Linked DNA regions of Anolis sagrei. The protein of the gene in region 1 purifies or fractionates together with the protein of each later gene. This does not show direct contact. Links are inferred from orthologs where the notes say so. Each region holds a gene or a part of one and is shown on either strand. Other genes may lie near its edges. The genes, in order: CDC25C and SUFU.

What was found.
Region 2: the proteins of CDC25C (region 1) and SUFU purify together in Homo sapiens (affinity purification with mass spectrometry; 4 studies listed by BioGRID and IntAct, counting the BioPlex papers as one, with this or other methods). This does not show direct contact. The link is inferred for Anolis sagrei from reciprocal best matches to the Homo sapiens genes CDC25C and SUFU.

Annotation. Positions count from the first base shown.
Region 1 is NC_090022.1:76,158,071-76,167,850, forward strand, and holds the start of CDC25C (M-phase inducer phosphatase 3), read left to right. Parts: upstream 1-5,379; 5' UTR 5,380-5,609; intron 5,610-6,817; 5' UTR 6,818-6,830; coding exon 6,831-7,018; intron 7,019-7,671; coding exon 7,672-7,769; intron 7,770-8,725; coding exon 8,726-8,759; intron 8,760-9,780. Other genes in the region: oocyte-specific histone RNA stem-loop-binding protein 2-like, read right to left, coding at 4,936-4,988. UniProt on the Homo sapiens protein: Functions as a dosage-dependent inducer in mitotic control. Tyrosine protein phosphatase required for progression of the cell cycle. When phosphorylated, highly effective in activating G2 cells into prophase.
Region 2 is NC_090023.1:215,057,075-215,066,603, reverse strand, and holds the start of SUFU (suppressor of fused homolog), read left to right. Parts: upstream 1-5,299; 5' UTR 5,300-5,470; coding exon 5,471-5,628; intron 5,629-9,529. UniProt on the Homo sapiens protein: Negative regulator in the hedgehog/smoothened signaling pathway. Down-regulates GLI1-mediated transactivation of target genes. Down-regulates GLI2-mediated transactivation of target genes. Part of a corepressor complex that acts on DNA-bound GLI1.

The DNA.
Region 1 (9,780 bases):
CAAAGAGTGCACCTTACATTCATCAACAAATCCTTTTTTTGGTTTCACGTTTTTGAAAATTGAGGTGCGCATTAGATTCAATAGCAAATTAAGACTGGGGTAAATACAGGTACTGTATTTTTTTTTTTTTTTGGCATATAAGACTACTTTTTAACCCAGGAAAATCTTCTCAAAAGTCGGGGGCCATCTTATACACCAGGTGTCATCTTATAGGGCAGGTGCTGAAACTTCCAAGCTGGAATGGAGAATCTGCGATCGCCACATATGGTTGGGGGAGCTCAAAAACAGCTGCGTCTGCATCCCCGCCGTATGCGGCGACTATATGAAAGCAGCAAGTGCGTACGTTGGAAGAAGGGCAGTCTTATATGGCGAGTATATCCAAACTCTATATTTTAACTGGAAAAGTTGGGGATCATCATATATGCCGGAAAATACGGTACTTCTTTCTCCCAACTCAAAATTCTGAAACATCAAACATTTCCTGAACGTATTTATTAGCTAAAATCAATAACTGTAACCTTCTCTGCTTCAACATTTTCAGCAGGTATGCCAGTTTCTATTTGGCAGCCAAGGCTGTTATACATTTAAGCAAACCTACCAAATATCCTAAAGGTGCCAGATCTTTTTTGAGCTTGGAAGCTAAGCAGAGCAAGCCCTGATGAATACTTGGATGGGAGACTACCAATGCCTGGTGTTGTGGGCTCTATTTCAAAGGAAGGAACTGGCAAAACCACCTCTGAGGATTCCTTAAGAAAACCTTATGAGATTCATGGGGTGATGGTAAGTTGACAGGTGACTAGAAGGCACATAACAGAACCAAAGCCAAAGAGGGGCATTGTTGATGTTTATAGCCATGCTATATTCAGCATGGTGAAGTGGTCTATGAACCTAGAGTGGTCTGAGCATTGGAATGAAGTGCAACACTGTCTGAGCTCTGCAAGTGCTGCAGTTTTTGAATGAAACACGAGTGTTTGAAGATCAGGACATTTGTAGGGAGAACAAGATGCTTGTTTACAAAGCTATTGACCGTTTACTGTGAAACATGGACCGTCTACAAATGCCACTCTCAACTTCTGAAAGATTCCATCAGCATTGCCTCAAAAAAAATCTTGCAAATTGCTCGGAAAGACAGGCAGAAAATGTCAGTGTTCTGGCAGAAGAAAAGACTACCAGCACTGAAGTGATGGTCCTCCATCAACTTGGCTAGGCTGGCCACGTTGTTTGAATACCCAGTCACAATCTCCCAAAGTAGTTACTTTAGTCTCAGCTCAAGAATGGAAAACAGAATGTCAGTGGACAGCAAATAAAGATTTAAAGATGGGCTTAAAGCTAATCTTAAAAAAATGTGGAACAAACACAAAAAACTGGGAAGCCCTGGTCCTCAAGCATTCCTCGACTGGAGGTCAGCTTGTTACCAACAGTGCTGTGAATTCAATGAGGTTCAAACAGAAAGCGAAAAGGAGAAATGCACCAAGGAAGGTGCATCAAGCAAACCCTTGCTGTGACCGCCTTCCTGCTGGAAATCTGTGTCCTCGTTGTGAACAACCATGAGCATCCAGAACAGGTGTCTACAGTCAGTTATGGAACCACCACCAAGACTTTACCCTTGGAAGACTATCTTACTCCGCCACAACTGATCACCTATGAATTATTACTCTGAAGACCAGAGTTCAGTTCCCTTTTTGGCCACAGAAAACCCCATGATAAGATCACCATAAGTCAAAAAGAACCTGAAGGCAAACAACAAATATTCATCGTCTTTTTTCATCCTACCCCTATTTTGGTGATCTACTAGTCTATTTCAAAAACAGGTGACATACTAGCAGTGAGCTGCAGCTCTTAAGGTTAGACATTTGTTTTATGAACACCCAATGCATAAGATGATCATCCAAGCAGTTTCCTGTAAATGAGTAACAAGTCGCAGATATTGTGTTGGTCCAGACCAGGGGTCCTCAAACTAAGGCCCGGGGCCCGAATACAACCCTCCAACATCATTTACCTGGCCCTCACTAAGAGTCAACCTAAGTCTGAAACAACTTGAAAGCACACAACAACAACCACAACAACCATCCTATCTCATCAGCCAAAAGCAGGCCCAAACTTCCCACTGAAATACTAGTAAGTTTATATTAAAAATCATTCATTTTAATTATTGTATTGTTTTTAAGTGTGTGTGTGTGGGGGGGGGGGTGTTGCACTACAAATAAGATATGTGCGGTGTGCATAGGCATTCATGTTTGGGAGTTCTAGGCCAAAAAACTCTGTTTAAAAAGTTTGTGGACCCCTGGTCCAGACAATAAAAACAAAATTGAAAAGCCAATTTCCAGACTAACTTTTCACCACTTTTTATATTGTTCATAACAGGAACAAAGCCTTAAATGTAACCATCCTTATGGTGAGAAATGATGCTGTTAAGAAAAGCAAAACTAGAATTAGTCCGAAAGGAGCAGAGGAGCTTCTTACATCCATTCTTTCCACAAGTTAGTGCTTGTTTAAAATGCAGGATGTTTCAAAAAGATGCACCTGATTTGAAATCACGATCTGCTATCAGAAACTACCCATAAATGAAACACTTCCTACTTGAAAAGGTGGGGCATAGAATTTCAAATGATTACTGCTAGGTTCTTCTCCCAATACACAAATAGTCTTTAGCCAGAGTTAGAGGACATTTCTTCTCCTGCAACTAGAAAACAAACATTTACTATTTTGAGCCCCTGCTAAAACCCAATTGTCCAGTTTAGACCAGTGGTTCTCACTCTTTGGTCCTCCAGGTATTTTGGACTAGAGTTCCCAGAATCCCTGACAATAGGCCAAACTGGCTGGGACTTCAGGGAGTTGAAGTTCCAAAGGCATCACAGGTTAAGGCTATTTGGGGCACATGTGTGCATCTATACTATAGAATTAATGCAGTTTGGCTCCACTTTAACCACGATGGCTCAAGACTATGGAAACCTAGGAGTTGTAGTTTTCCAAGATCTTAGGTTTTTTCTACCAAACAGAGCTCTAGAGCCTCACTGAGCTACAGTTCCCATGATTCCATAGCATCAAGCCATGGCAGTTAAAGTGGCCTCAAACTCCACTTATTCCTACAGTGTAGATCAGGTCTGGGCCAACTTGGGCCCTCCAGGTATTTTGGACTTCAACTTCCATCATTCCTAACAGCCTCGGGCCCCTTCCTTTCCCCCCTCAGCCGCTTAAGCGGCTGAGTCACCATGAGTCACCTTCGGCTTTGAGAAAGGCGGGATAGAAATATCATAAATAAATAAATAATAGAGTTTGCCTATGCCTGGAGTAGATGCACCTCAAAACTAGGGGGAAAAGGGAAGAGGAGGGGGGCAGGGGGCAGTTCCACCTTGTCTCCTGTGCTATGCTAATAATATAATATATAATATAATATTGGGTTGTTGTAGGTTTTGTTGGGATATATGGCCATGTTCTAGAAGCATTTTCTCCTGATGTTTCGCCTGCATCTATGGCAAGCATCCTCAGAGGTAGTGAGGACCTCACTCCTCTGAGGATGCTTGCCATAGATGCAGGTGAAACGTCAGGAGAAAATGCCTCTAGAACAGGGGTCCTCAAACTTTTTAAACAGAGGACCAGGTCAGTCTGTCAAACTGTTGGAGGGCTGGATTAGAATTTGAAAAAAAAATGAATTCCTATGCACACTGCACATGTGTTATTTGTAGTGCAAAAAAACCCAAACACTTAAGACAATACAATATTTAAAATGAAGAATAATTTTAACAAATATAAACGTTTTAGTATTTCAATGGGAAGTGTGGGCCTGCTTTTGGCTCATGAGATAGGATTATTGTTGTTGTTGTTGTTGTGTGCTTTCAAGTCATTTCAGACTTAGGTTGACCCTGAGCGGGAGCCTTGGAGGGCCGCATCTAGCCCCCAGGCCTTAGTTTGAGGACCCCTGCTCTAGAACATGGCCATATAGCCCGAAAAACCTACAACAACCCAGCGATGCCAGCCATGAAAGCCTTCGAGAATACATTAATATAATATTATTCATTTATTTATTTACCATTTTTATATACTGCTCTTCTCAGCCCATGGGTGACTCAGGGCAGTATAATATAATATAATGTAGACTAACAGAATATTTATAATAATATAATGTAATGCAATATACTACTATTTATTTATTTATTATTTATTTATCGTGTCAGGGGCAACCAGATAATTGTATTACATTTCTAACAGAACAAAAGCAAACAAACAAACAGACAAATAACAAAATTGGCAGGTTTGGTAGTTGATTAAATGTCCTTTGACCAGTATCTGGTCACTTGGAGTGCCTCTGGTGTTGCTGCAAGAAGGTCCTCCATTGTGCATGTAGCAGGGCTCAGGTTGCATTGCAGCAGGTGGTCAGTGGTTTGCTCTTCTCCATAATTATAATAATATGATATTATAATTAAATATTTATATTACATGTAATTACTAATGTTGTTGTTGTTCATTTGTTCAGTCGTCTCCGACTCTTCGTGACCTCATGGACCAGTCCACGCCAGAGCTCCCTGTCGGCCGTCACCACCCCCAGCTCCTTCAAGGTCACTCCAGTCACTTCAAGGATGCCATCCATCCATCTTGCCCTTGGTCGGCCCCTCTTCCTTTTGCCTTCCACTTTCCCCAGCATAATTGTCTTCTCTAGGCTTTGCTGTCTCCTCATGATGTGGCCAAAGTATAATGGTGTAGTACAATATAGTAATATTTAATACTGAAATTGTACTATGCTAATAACATAATATAGTGTATCTGTATATGTGTGTGTGTGTGTGTATGTATGTATCTATATATATATATCTTGTAAACCACTCTGAGTCCCCTTCCGGGTGAGAAGGGCGGCATATAAATGTCGTAAATCAATAACTATCTTCCCTTAGCCCTGTTTAGGACTGCTAGGCTGCCTCTCCTTCCACAGTCTGTTACCTGCTGCTCCCGGGAGCCCAGCTCTCAGTCCCAATTCGTCCACACTGCATCATCCACCAAGAACATCACCGGCGTAGTTCTAAGGAGTCTGTCTCCACCTCCACGGTTTAAATCTCCCTCCTCGTGAAAGGCAGGGCGGAGCCTGGAACGCATCTCCAACCAATCGCATCGGGTTGGGTAAGTCCTCTGTTCAGTGATTGGCTGGACTGGATCAGGTTGGCTATCCTCCACCGCCGAAAAATAACAAAAAGGATCAGGAAGTCCCCGCCTACCGCGGCTTCTTCCAATAAGCTTTTCCACGCGCCCTCCTCCTTGACGTCACTGCGAGCATCGGACCAATGAGAAAGCTGTTGAAAGGACAGCCGGAGCTTTTCTTCTTCTGGGCTTCGCTGATTGGCTGGGAGGGCGGAGGGCGTGGCTTGTGATTGGTTGATGTTAGGGCGGCAAATTGAATAGTCTGACATTCAATTGTGTTCTTGACGGGAAGGGCGGGGTGGGTCAGTTTGTCCACAAGGAAGGGGGGACTTTTTGAAGGACTTGTTGAGACTGCGCGGAACTGGGGGCTGCCAATTCGTATTGCTGTCTTAATTGCAGAACCTGCAGCCAGCCAGCCTTGTTAGTGGACAAGATCCAACGGGTTTGACTTTTCTAAAGCACCACTGACACCCCTTAAGGTGGGTTTCGACCATATAATACCTTTTATCTCTGTAGCTGGACATAGGTTCACCTACACCTAGAATTAATTCAGTTTGAAACCACTTTAATTCTCCTGGACCACTGCTATGGAGTTCTGGGATTTGTAGTTTGTTGAGGCACCAGCTCTCTTGGTAGAGAAGGCTAAAAGTGTGCAAAACTACACCTCCCATGATCCCATAGCATCGAGGAATGGCAATTAAAGTGGTGTCAAACTGCATTAATTTTATAGTATAGATGGGTATGAGCAAACTTTGGCCCTCCAGGTGTTTTGGACTTCAACTCCCACAATTCCTGGCCTCAGGCCCCTTCCTTTCCCCCCTCAGCTGCTTAAGCTTAAGCGGCTGAGGGGGGAAAGGAAAAGGCCTAAGGCCAGGAATTGTGGGAGTTGAAGTCCAAAACACCTGGAGGGCCGAAGTTTGCCCATGCTCAGTATAGATGCATTCGTGGTTCTAGTGCTTGTGCTGTTTCTTTCTGTTTATACAGGTTGAATCATCCTTATCTGAAATACGTGGCAACAGAAGCATTTCATATTTTAGGATATTTACATATACATAATGAAATATCCATGCAGTCATGCTAGCCACATGACCTTGGAGGTGTCTATGGACAACGGCGGCTCTTCGGCTCAGAAATGGAGATGAGCACCACACCCCAGAGTCAGACATGACTGGACTTAATGTCAGGGGACAACCTTTACCTTTTAATGAAAGATCTTGGTGACGGGGCCCAAACTTAAACACAAAATTCATTTATATTTTATGTGTACTTTTACACACATAGGCAAAAAGGAACTTTATATGCAATTATTGTAAAATAAAAATAACTTTGTGCATGAAACAAAGTTTGTGTACATTGAATCAATGTCAGAAAAAGCAAAGGTGTTGCTATCTCTGCCACCCTGGTGGGCCTTTTTGGATTTTAGAGGATTATGAAATTTTAGACAAGGGATGCTCAAACTGTATTTTGCCTTAAATGGTGTCAAAGGAGCAGAACAATGTACTGTCAGGGGAATTATTTTTGCTAATTTAGTGCATGAGAAAAAGTTTGTTTCAGGAAGAACAGATGTCCCTGTCTCAGCCACCCGTGTGGACAATTTTGGAAGATTTGGGTTTTTTGAATATGGAATGCTCAATCTGTAGTAGGGGGGAAAGGAGTAATAGTAAGTTGTGTATATGTCTGTCTTCAGGTGTCTGCTCATCATGTCAGAGAGCATTCCTCCCACTGAAGCGGATGTGCTTCGTTCAGACCTTGGGTTTCGATCTGGCTGCAGGACGGTGCTTAATACTTTCCGGGAATCAGAGATCTCTCCACCTCTTTCTCCACAACTACCTCTTACTCCAGTCTTGAGTATAACCTGGGATTTTGGGAACCTCAGCACACTAGGAGGGTAAATATGTTCAGGGCAGTTATGTGGAATGGAAAATACAGTCAGCTCTTTGTATCCATGGATTCTGCATCCACAGGTTCCAAGATCTTGATTTTGCCATTTTAGATAAACCTTGATTTTACTGCGCCATTGTATATAATGCAGTGGTTCCCAACCTTTTTTGACCAGGGACCACTCTCCAACATTAATACCAAAAGGGTTACAAATCAGTTTTTGGTCAACTTTAGATTCAGTTTGGTTATTTGGGGTGCTGATTCAGAAAATTGCATTGAATAGTCCACATCAGCTCTAGTTCCTGGTACAGAACATACGCCATCCAGTAGTTGCCATCTGCTCACCCACAGAAAACCATATTTAATAAGCCTCGGTACTATAAGAGGGTTTCAAGAGACCAGTCACTCTCATTGCAACTGTGCAGACCACTGGTGGTCCACGGATCACAGGCTGGGAACCACTGATATACTGGAACTTGAGATCCACAAATTTTGGTATTCATGCAGGGTGGTTGGCAAATATGACTCCTATGGGCCAGTGGAAACTAGACACTCGATCTCCTAACCTAGGTTCTGGTCCAGCACTGCCAGAGCCAAAACACACTGGAGTTCTATACACTGTGTTTCTATCTACTTATTCCTTTCACTATATTTTTGCAGGGACACTCCAAGACGCTGCCTAGATCTTTCCAATCTCAGTAACGGGGAAGAGGAAATTGTCTTCAACTTCAGCCAGTCCTCAAAAACTTTGGAAAATGGTAATAATCACTTCCAGAAACACAGTTCTGATACTATCTGCTATTTAATCATTTCCACAATAAATATAACTGTGCAACTACACTGCAGATTTAATGTAGTTTGACATCACAATAATCATGGCTCAGTGCTATTGAAACATGGAAGCTGTAGTTCTGCAAGGTCTTTAGCCTTCTCAGCCAAAAAGTGATGGTGCCTCAGCAAACTACAAGTCCTATGATTCTTTAACATCAAGCCATGGTAGTTAAAGTGATGTCAACTATTATTTCTATAGTGTCGATGCACCTAATGGTAATATATTTTCTTATCACAAGTCTTGTCAACCAGCTCATCTTTTTCAACCCCTTCTGATAAGTTTATTTATTATTTATTTATTTACAGTATTTATGTACCGCCTTTCTCACCCCGGGAGGACTCAAAGCAGTTTGCCATAAATCAGAAATGACCTTAAGACACTCAAGGTCAACCTGAGTTATTGTCTCTTAATCTCCTGCCTAATCCTGGTAATGTGACTTTCCACAGGAATTAGAGCCTTCACTTTCCTCTTTCTATTCAAAGCATATTGTAAAAAAAAAAAAAATCCAGCTTCAGCGAAGTACTTTGTTTTGGATTACCTTTATACCATTGTCTATCAGTAAATAGTTTGCAGATGTATTTGAAACGCTTCAGGTGAGATGTGAACCACCAGTAAGCTTTCTTTGATGCTGTCCTTTTTCTTGCTTTCCCTGGTAATTCCATGAATAAATAGCTAACCTAGGAGTATCCAGATGTTTTAAATACAGTACCAGCCAATCCGGCCAGTAGTTGGAGATTATGAGACGTATAGTCCAGAACATCTGAAGGATACCAAGTTGCATTTGTAGACATAGGCACTGTTTTGACATTTATCCCATCAGCTGTATTTTACTCCTGACTCCTTCCTTTGTTGTTTTGCTGACTTCTTTCCCTCTTGTTGCAGATCAGAAGGACTCAGGAGAACTTCAGGATCTACTGTAAGATCTGCCTACACATTTTAGAGCACATCTTGATTCCATATATATTCTGCTAACCAATGTTGTTTAATTTATCAGAGTTTATGGCTAAAAATTCAGTGAAAATCTCTTTGATGGCACCTGCAATGCCAGCCTACCTGGGGGTGGGCAGCAATGACCCTCCAGATATTTTTGTGTAAATGCAGTTACCATCATTGCTGGCCAGCATAGCTATTAGTGAAGGATTATGGGAGCTAGAATCCAAAAATATCTGAAAGGACACAATTACCTGTGCTACTGAGGGCTTGTTTTTTGCTAAGTTAGTCAGCATAAGAATAAAGTGAGTATTGAATTTTATTTTATGTGCCACCTTTTGATCAACTTGAGATATCATTGTTATATTTATTATATTTATTAATATTCAGCTTTTCTCCTAAAATTGGGACTCAATGAGACTTAAAATTTTAAACACAATAAATTTTAAAACATGTCGTATCATCCCATGTCCATGAGGGATATGTTCCCAGACTTTGTGTGGATATGTGGATCCATGGATATTATTGAACAGAATCGAAATTAAGGACCAAAGGGTCAAGAATACCATAGAGTCATTCATGATGTTCTGGAAAATGACTAGAGATGACATCTTTTGTTGGATGTGGATAATGATACAGTGGATATCTGTCCCGTGGATCTGGGGGTCATAATGTACAAAAAAGTAAACATTAAATAAGGTTACATTTTTGACAATATTAAAATGATTTAAAGGTATACTTAAAAACACAATTAAAAGATTTTAAAAATCAGCTAAAATAGTTCAGGCTAAACAAACAAGCAGTAGTTGCTCTGGGTTGCAGAGAGTTTTCTGGGCTGTATGGCCATGTTCCAGAAGCATTCTCTCCTAATGTTTCACCCACATTTATCCTCAGAGATGGTGAGGTCTGTTGGAAACTATGAAAATTGGGTTTATATATCTGTGGAATGCCCAGGGTGGGAGAAAGAACTCTTGTCTGCTTGAGGCAAGTGTGAATGTTGCAATTGG
Region 2 (9,529 bases), on another chromosome or scaffold:
ACACAGAAAGTTAAGCTAATGATGGATACTATTAAAGTAAAAAAATACAAATAGCATTACTAATAATAATAATAATAATAATAATAATAATACACACTAAGATAATGGACAACAGCTGCTTGGGTTGCATCTACACTGTAGAATTAATGCAGTTTGACCTTAACTATAGAATAGTTACAACAGCAAAACAACAGGGGAAACAGTCAGGCACATCTAATCACCTCTCAGCAAAAGATTGCCCCAGGCACTGCTAGGCCATCAAATGCTAATCAAGGTGGTCAGTTGAAACATTCACACCTAGCTCCAGCAGACAAGAGTCCTTTGTCCCACCCTGGTCATTCCACAGATATATAAATCCTTTTTTCCTAGCTCCAACAGACCTCACTACCTCTGAGGATGCTTGCCATAGATGCAGGCGAAACATCAGGAGAAAATGCCTCTAAAACATGGCCATATAGCCCAAAAAAACCGCTACAAGAACCCAACATTAAGAATATTAAATGAGGTGGATCAACCTGTTGCACTGTTACTGATTTATTCATGTTCAGCTCTATTTTTGTCACCAACATGAATTGCATTTTTAAATACTGATTGTACTATTATTAACTGCTTGTCGCACAGTTCAGAAACAATCTAGGTTTCATACATGTCTCCTATTTATTTATTTATAATATTGCATTGCAAAGAAGTCATTATACAAACACATTCCAGACGATGCATGTTGGGCTTGCTACTATGCTAATAATGTAGTATGTTGTATGTACATATGACTTTGTAAGCCGCTCTGACTCCCCTTCGGGGTGAGAAGGGTGGCATATAAATATCATAAATAAATAAATAAATAAATACGTGTCACCTATTTATAGTATTGCATTGCAAAGAAGTTTGTTTCTTGGTTACATCCCGTCTAGACTACTGCAACGCTCTCTACGTGGGGTTGCCTTTGAAGACGGCTCGGAAGCTCCAACTAGTCCAACGCTCGGCAGCCATGATACTAACAGGAGCGGAGCGCAGGGAGCATACAACTCCTCTGTTGCACCAGCTCCACTGGCTGCCGATTTGCTACCGGGCTCAATTCAAAGTGCTGGCGTTGGCCTATAAAGCCCTAAACGGTTCGGGCCCAAGTTACCTATCCGAACGTATCTCTGCCTACAAACCCACCAGGACTCTAAGATCTTCTGGGGAGGCCCTGCTCTCGATCCCGCCTGCATCACAAGCACGGCTGGCGGGGACGAGGGACAGGGCCTTCTCTGTGGTGGCCCCTCGGCTGTGGAACGCTCTTCCCATGGACATTAGATCAGCTCCTACATTAATGGTGTTTCGAAGAAAACTAAAAACCTGGCTGTTTGAACAGGCATTCGGATAAACAGTGCAATGAATACGATGAATATAGGAACGGAATTATGGACGACGAATTGGATCATGATTCTAGCTACGAGATGTTAATGTGTTGTTATTGATGTGTCATCACTTTGTATACTATGCTGTTAATGGTTTTTAAATTGTATGTTGTTATGATTGTCTTTTGGCTCTTGTTGTGAACCGCGTTGAGTCGCCTACGGGCTGAGCAACTGCAGCATACAAGCAAAGTAAATAAATAAATAAATGTTTTTTTTTTCGTGTCAGGAGCAACCTGAGAAATTGCAAGTCGCTTCTGGTGTGAGAGAATTGGCCGTCTGCAAGGACGTTGCCCAGGGGACACCCGGATGATTTTGATGTTTTATCATCCTTGTGGGAGGCTTTTCTCATGTCCCCACATGAGGAGCTGACGCTGATATAGGGAGCTCATCCGCCTCTCCCCGGATTCGAACCTGCGACCTGTTGGTCTTTAGTCCTGGCAGCATTGCAAAGAAGTTATACAAAGACATTCCAGCCAATGCATGTTGGGCTTGACCGCTGATGGTTTATAACTTTAACTTTGTCTTTTCATTTGGAAAATAAAGTAATCTCTATGACCTTAACATTGTATTACACAACAGATGAAACATGTCTTTTCTAAAATATCTTCTGTCTTAGACTCTCATAAGCCATTGCAATGTGAAACAACTTGAAATCGCATTATTTGATCAGCTTAGACTTATATATAATGCAATGCCATGCAATGCAGCTTGAAATTGCATTATGTGTTCAGTGTGGATTCATATATAATGCAGTGCCATGGAATACAACTTGAAATGGCATTATATGGTCAGTGTAGATTCATATATAATGCAGTGCCATACAATGCAGCTTGAAATGGAATTATATAGTCAGCATAGACTCATATATAATGCAGTGCCATGCAATGCAGCTTGAAACAGAATTATATAGTCAGCGTAAACTCATATATAATGCAGTACCATATAATGCAGCTCGACAAGGCAGAGTGTGGACTCATATCTAAGCCAGTGCCATGTAATACAACTTGAAACAGCATTATATGGTCAGCATAGACTCATATATAATGCAATTCCATGCAATGTAGCTTGAAGCAGAATTATATGGTCAGTGTAGTCACATATAATGCAGAACGGCATTATATGAGTCTACCCTGATTGTATAATGCTGTTTCAAGTTGTATTATATGGCACTGGTCAATGTAGACTCATAATGCAGTGCCATGTAATACAACTTGAAATAACAGTATATGGTTGGTGTAGACTCATAATACAGTTTTGCAATATATGAGTCTACACTGAACATGTAATACTGATCAAGCTGCATTACATGGCAATGAAGATGGAGCCCTGAATGAATTTAATTGTTACAGTCACAGACCAAAAGTGTGAAACTTTAAAATTTTAAAAACAGTTTTTTTATTGTTAACACTAAGAACAAAAATTTACAACATTAAAAGTAGGAAGTCTGTGGGTAAAAAAATTAATAAAATAAAACTTTTTCTGCTAAAATAATCTGCTTCCTTATTTTTATAACTGCCGCACAAAACTTAGCCACGCTATAATGAGTGGTGGATCTCTATCCTCTAGGAGATGTTTTAGATAATAGTCTTTTAGAAAACAAGTCTAGAAAATCTCCTTCTCGGCTACAACATTTCTGAGTTGAATTCTGCCTTGGACATGGATCAGTGGCAATTAAGACCCTTTCTATGCAGCCATATAATCCAGATTATCAAAGCACATAATCCAGATTATCTGCTTTGAACTGGATTATATGTGTCTACACTGCCATGTAATGCAGTTCAAGGCAGATAACCTGGATTTTATATGGCAATGTAGAAGGGGCACTACTAGACTTAATGTTGGACACTACTAGAATTAATGTCAGGACAAACCTTTACCTTTACCTTTTATTTACTTATTTATTTCACATATTTGTATCCCGTCCTTCTCACCCCTGGAGGGGGACTCATGTCGGCTTCACAACCGGCATTTATTCAATGCCAACAACAGTAATAAGTGATAAAAGCAATTAAAACAGTTTGTTAATGCTTTAAATTTACTAAAAATTGTTTAAATCACACAGGTTGAAATCATAGTCCAGTTCAGTCCATTGTCATTCACACAAATTGGGACTCATTCTACATTGCTGCCTCTACGTGAATGAATTCCTATGCACACTGCACATATCTTATTTGTAGTACAAAAAAAATAATTAAAATGAAAAACAATTTTAATATAAACTTATTAGTATTTCAATGGGAAGTGTGGACCTGCTTTTGGTTGGTAAGATTGTTGTTGTTGTTGTTGTTGTCTGCTTTCAAGTCGTTTCAGACTTAGGTTGACCCTGAGCGAGGGCCAGGTAAATGACCTTGAAGGGCCGTATTCGGCCGTCGAGCCTTAGTTTGAGGACCCCTGATCTAGACACTATATTCCTATGGAGACATGCCAAAATCTCATTGGCTTTTTTTGCCCTCACATCACATTGTTGGCTCATAGAATCATACAGTTGGGAGAGACCTCATGGGCCACCCAGTCCAACCCCCTGACAAGCAGGTATATTGTATTCAAAGCACCCTTGACAGATGGCCATCCAGCCTCTGTTTAAAAGCTTCCAAAGAAGGAGCCTCCACCACAATCCGGGGCAGAGAGTTCCACTGCTGAACGGCTCTCACAGTCAGGAAGTGACTGTGTTCCTAATGTTCAGGTGGAATCTCCTTTCTTGTAGTTTGAAGCCAAGTCTCCAGGGCAGCAGAAAACAAGCCTGCTCCCTCCTCCCTATGGCTTTCCCTCACATATTTGCTGTCACATCAGCACTTTTAATCCTGTACCCATTACTCTGGCCCGGCCCAGTTTTATTGTGTCTTAGTGTCTTAGTTTATTGCTTGTTGTTTATATTGCTTTAATTGTTTTTAATTTGCCTTAGGTTTTGCATTGTTGCATTGTGTGTGGAGGCCTTGGCCTTGTAAGCCGCATCGAGTCCTTCAGGAGATGCTGTTGTTCATTCGTTCAGTCGTCTCCGACTCTTCGTGACCACATGGACCAGCCCACGACAGAGCTCCCTGTCGGCCGTCACCACCCCCAGCTCCTTCAAGGTCAGTCCAGTCACTTCAAGGATGCCATCCATCCATTTTGTCCTTGGTCGGCCCCTCTTCCTTTTTCCTTCCACTTTCCCCAGCATAATTGTCTTCTCTAGGCTTTGCTGTCTCCTCATGATGTGGCCAAAGTACTTCAACTTTGTCTCTAGAATCCTTCCCTCCAATGAGCAACCGGGCTTTATTTCCTGGAGGATTGACTGGCTGGATCTTCTCGCAGTCCAAGGCACTCTCAGCACTTTCCTCCAGCACCACAGCTCAAAAGCATCGATCTTCCTTCGCTCAGCCTTCCCTAAGGTCCAGCTCTCACATCCGTAGGTTACTACAGGGAAGACCATGGCTTTGACTAGGCGGAGATGCTAGCGGGGTACAAATAAAGTTTAATAATAATAATAATAATAACAATATTTATACATCACCATCATGTCTCCTCTCAGCCTTCTTTTCTTCAGGCTAAACATGCCCAGCTCTTCAAGCTGCTCCTCATAGGGCTTGTTCTCCAGACCCTTTCTCCTTTCTCATTTCATGTTTAACTTGTTGTCCACGAGGACTCCAAGATCTTTTTCACACGCACTGTTCTCGAGCCACGCGTCCCCCATTCTGTATCTTGACAGATATATCTTCATTTCTGCCAGGGATCTGCTGTATAATGGGAGTAATACAAAACAGAGATGGAGCCCTGCTTTCAGTGAACTAGTGAGGAAGGCATGCCTTGCAACGCCTCCCCACTGCCGCTAGGGGTCAGTCACGCAGAAAGGGTGTGTGGAAGAGGAAGGCGGGGCGCGTTGGATCCTCGGAGGACATTCGCCGCGTCGCGATTGGCGGAGCCGCTTGCCCATCAAAGGCGCGGGAGGCGGGAGGAAAGAAAGGGGGATGTCGATGGAGAGCGCGTCTCCTGCCTGGGGTCGCTGAGGGGAGTCTGGAGCCTCCGTTTGGGCCTCGGCTTCCGTGGAGGGGGCTGAGGCGGGCGTGCTTCCTCCCTCCTTCGCTCCTTCCCTCATGGAGACCTCAGCGACCGCCTCTGCCACCTCGGGCCCCACGCCGGGCCCTTTCCCCCCGCTCTTCCCGCCGGGGCTGCACGGGATCTATGGAGAGTGCCGGCGCCTCTACCCGGAGCAGCCCAACCCGCTGCAGGTCACCGCCATCCTCAAGTACTGGTGAGTCAGGCCTCGGGAAGGGGCAGACAAAGGCCCGAGGGGCCTCCACAGGCGCCCCCTTCGCTCAGGCTGCGTCTGGGCCAGCCTGGGCCCTCGAGGTGTTTTGGACTCCAACTCCCACCATTCCTAACAGCCTCAGGCCCTTTCCTTTCACCCCTCAGCCGCTTAAGCGGCAGAGGGGTGAAAGGAAGGGGCCTGAGGCTGTTAGGAATGGTGGGAGTTGGAGTCCAAAACACCTCAAGGGCCCAGGCTGGCCCATGCTTACTTTACACTATAGAATGAATGAGGTTTGACACCACTTGACCTGTATTTTCTGTTGGTCATGGAGGTTTCTGTATAGGAAGTTTGGCCCAATTCTATCCAGGTGAACTATAAATCCCAGCAACTACAACTCCCAAATGTCAAGCTCTATTCCCCCCAAACTCCACCAGTGTTCACATTTCACATATTGAGTATTCGTGCCAAGTTTGGTCCAGATCCATCATTGTTTGAGTCCAAAATACTCTCTGGATGGAGGTGATCTACAACTCCGAAACTCAAGTGTCCACCAAATCCTTCAAGTATTTTCTGTTGGTTGTGGGAGTTCTGTGTGCCAAGTTTGGTTCAATCCCTTCATTCAATTGGTTCAATTCCATCCTCTTCGATTGTAGTTTAACCACAAAGTGCTGGTTTTTACCTATAAAGCTCTTTATGGTTCTGGATCAGCTTAGTTGTCCGAACGCATCTGCCTCTACGTCCCACCTCGTAACTCATCCAGGGAGGCCCTGCTCTCCTTCCAGCCAACATCGCAAACATGGACAAGAGACAGGGCCTTCTCGGCTGTAGCCCCCTGCCTGTGGAACGCTCTTCCAAATGAAATAGGATCGACTCCATCCCTCCTGGCGTTCAGGAAAAAATTAAAATCTTGTTTTTGGGACTAGGCTTTCGGACAATAAACATAAAGCAGCACTTTGACTGGAAATGGATTGGTAAGGCCATATGTATGAGGATATGGTTTTATGGTTCTATCAGTGGGTTCATGGACTGAGTATTGTTTTAATGACTTATGATAATTTGGTTATAATTAACTGCTATTGTTTTAACTCTGTATGTATTTGTGGTTTTATACTGTGTTATTGATTGTGGCATCAAATTGCTGCCTTTGTTAGCTGCTCTGAGTCCCTCCCCCCCCCCCCCGGGGTTGAGAAAGGTGGGGTAAAAATGCAGTAAATAAATAAATAAAATAAACAAACTATAAGTCCTAGCAACAACAACTTGCAGGTGACATAATCAATGCCCCCCCTCCCCCAACCTCACCAGTATTCGAATTTGGGCATGCCAGGTATGAGTGCCAAATTTGATCCAGTGAATGTAAATACATCCTGCATATCGGATACTTACATTACGATTCATAACACTAGCAAAATTACAGTTATGAAAGTACCAACGAAAATAATTTCAGTCGTGGGATCACCGCAATATGAGGAACTGTATTAAGGGGTCGTGGTGTTAGGAAGGTTGAAAAACACTGGTGTAGATGCACACTTGGATTTCTAAAGTGACCAAAAGTTGTTTTCTATTTATGGGAGGGAGGATCTTTTGGAAAGCTCGAGGAAGTGCTTTGAATTCATGGCTGCTGGTGGTGTTTGATTGGGAGGGGGTTGTTTTGATGGAGACATTGAGGGGTTTGAGGATAGAGGGGTCAGCAAGAAAGCTTACATACTTATATTTCTTCTTACATATTGTTGTCCACATTGCTCCCCCCCCCCCCCGATGGTTAAACTGCTGAGCTGCTGAACTTGCAGACCGAAAGGTTGGTGGTTTGAATCCGAGGAGTGGGGTGAGCTCCCACTATTAGTCCCAGCTTCTGCCAACCTAACCGTTTGAAAACATGCAAATGTGAGTAGATCAATGGACTGCTTCTGCAGGAAGGTAACGACACTCCATGCAGTCATGTCAGCCACATGACCTAGGAGGTGTCAGTGGACAACGCCGGCTCTTCAACTGAGAAATTGAGATGAGCACCAATCCTCAGAGTTGGACACGACTGGACTTAATGTCAGGGGAAAACCTTTACCTTTGCATATTGTTGTCTGTATGTGGCATTTGAAGTGCTTCTGTGAGCTGCCCCAAGTCCCTTTGGGGAGATATTGGCAATTAGATTTTCTACTTTTATATTTTATACAGATTTTAGTTGCTGAATGTGTTTTTTAGGAGGCTTGATTGATAAGAAGTTTTAGTTAATGTTGTTTTATTTGTGTATTTTTAATCTGTTCATTTTAATTGGTTTGTCAGTTTGTTTTATCTTGTTACTGCACATTTATGTATTTATTTATTTACCATATTTATACCCTGCCCTTCTTAACCCAGAGGGGACTCAATGTGACTTACATATAGGCAACTATTAAGTGCCTTAGAGCAGCATACAATGAAAATAAAAATTTAAGATTGAAATTAATACACATTAAACAGGTAAAAACATTACATCCATTACGAAAACCACGCCATCCACAATTGTAATCTGGGACTATCCAGTAGTCTTTCTGTAAAGACTTTCTGTATATTTATGTCTTTATTTTGCATATTTCTATCCCATCCTTCTCACCCAGAAGGGGGGACTCAGGGTGGCTTGCAACAGGCAACCATTTCATGCCATCAAACAGATTCATAAATAACAATTGCAATTAAAACAGTAATTAAAATGTTAAATTATTAAAGCATTCATTGAAAATCACACACATTCAAATCCTAGTCCAGGTCAAACCCATTGCCAGTAACATAGGGTCAGTATCAATCTCAATTGCTGCATCTATTGTTTGAAGGCTTGGCCCCATAACCATGTTTTAAGTTATTTTCTTAAAGTTACGGATAGGAGGAAGGGGACTGATCTGATGTCACTAGAAAGCGAGTTCCACAGATGAGGGACCACCACTGAGAATGTCCTGTCTCTCTTCCTCACCAATCGTGTTTGCGAGGATGGTGGGACTGAGAGCAGGGCCTCTCCCCACAATCTTAACCTTCACGGTGGTTCGTATTTGTAGTGAGAGATACAGTTGGGCAGGTAAACTGTATATATTTCAGATTTCAATATTAATGGCAAAAATATGTAGTATGATTTTACATAGGATCTGTACTACATTAGAACAGTAAAGACAAATATCACTTATGTAAAATAAACAGTAAATATTAAATAACAAAAAAAGGTGAAAGTCATTTCACATGTTTCATATCCTTCTATTGCGCTTGTTTGAAGGCTTGATTCCAAAGCCACAATTTCTCTCTTTCTGAAGGCCAGGAAAGAGGGGGCTGATCTTATATCACTGGGAAGGAAGCTCCACGGCTGTGGGACCACTAATGAGAATGCCCTGTCTCTCATTCCCACCAGTCATACCCACGAAGGAGTTGGAACAGAGCAGGGCCTCCCCTGACAATCTTAATCTCTAAGGCGGTTCATAGGGGGAGATGTGTTAGGACAGGTAAGCTGGGCATGGCATTGAATGTTTGCAAATTTGTGTTTTGAAAGTCACCCAGAGTCCCCTTGGGGAGGGTTAAAAATAAAGTTTGTTTTATTATTATTACACTACTAAAAGGGGGTGGCGACTGTGGTATTTATTTGGAAAAAAAAATCATTTTATTGAATACACAACCAACAAATATACAAAAAAAATCCATACAATATCAATATAAACACACCAAACACACTAAAGCAATACCGATCAAACACCTTCAGTTTAGTTTTCCACTTCTCATCATCTTCATTGTCTACTCATATTATTCTTAAACACAAATATATACATTGGTTTTGTTATAAAATAAACACTTGTCATGTATTTACCACATAATATATATTCTGAGGTATTGTCACCTTATTTGCAACAAAATTTATTTGACTGCTTCTAGACTCTACCTCAAGTTAACCAAT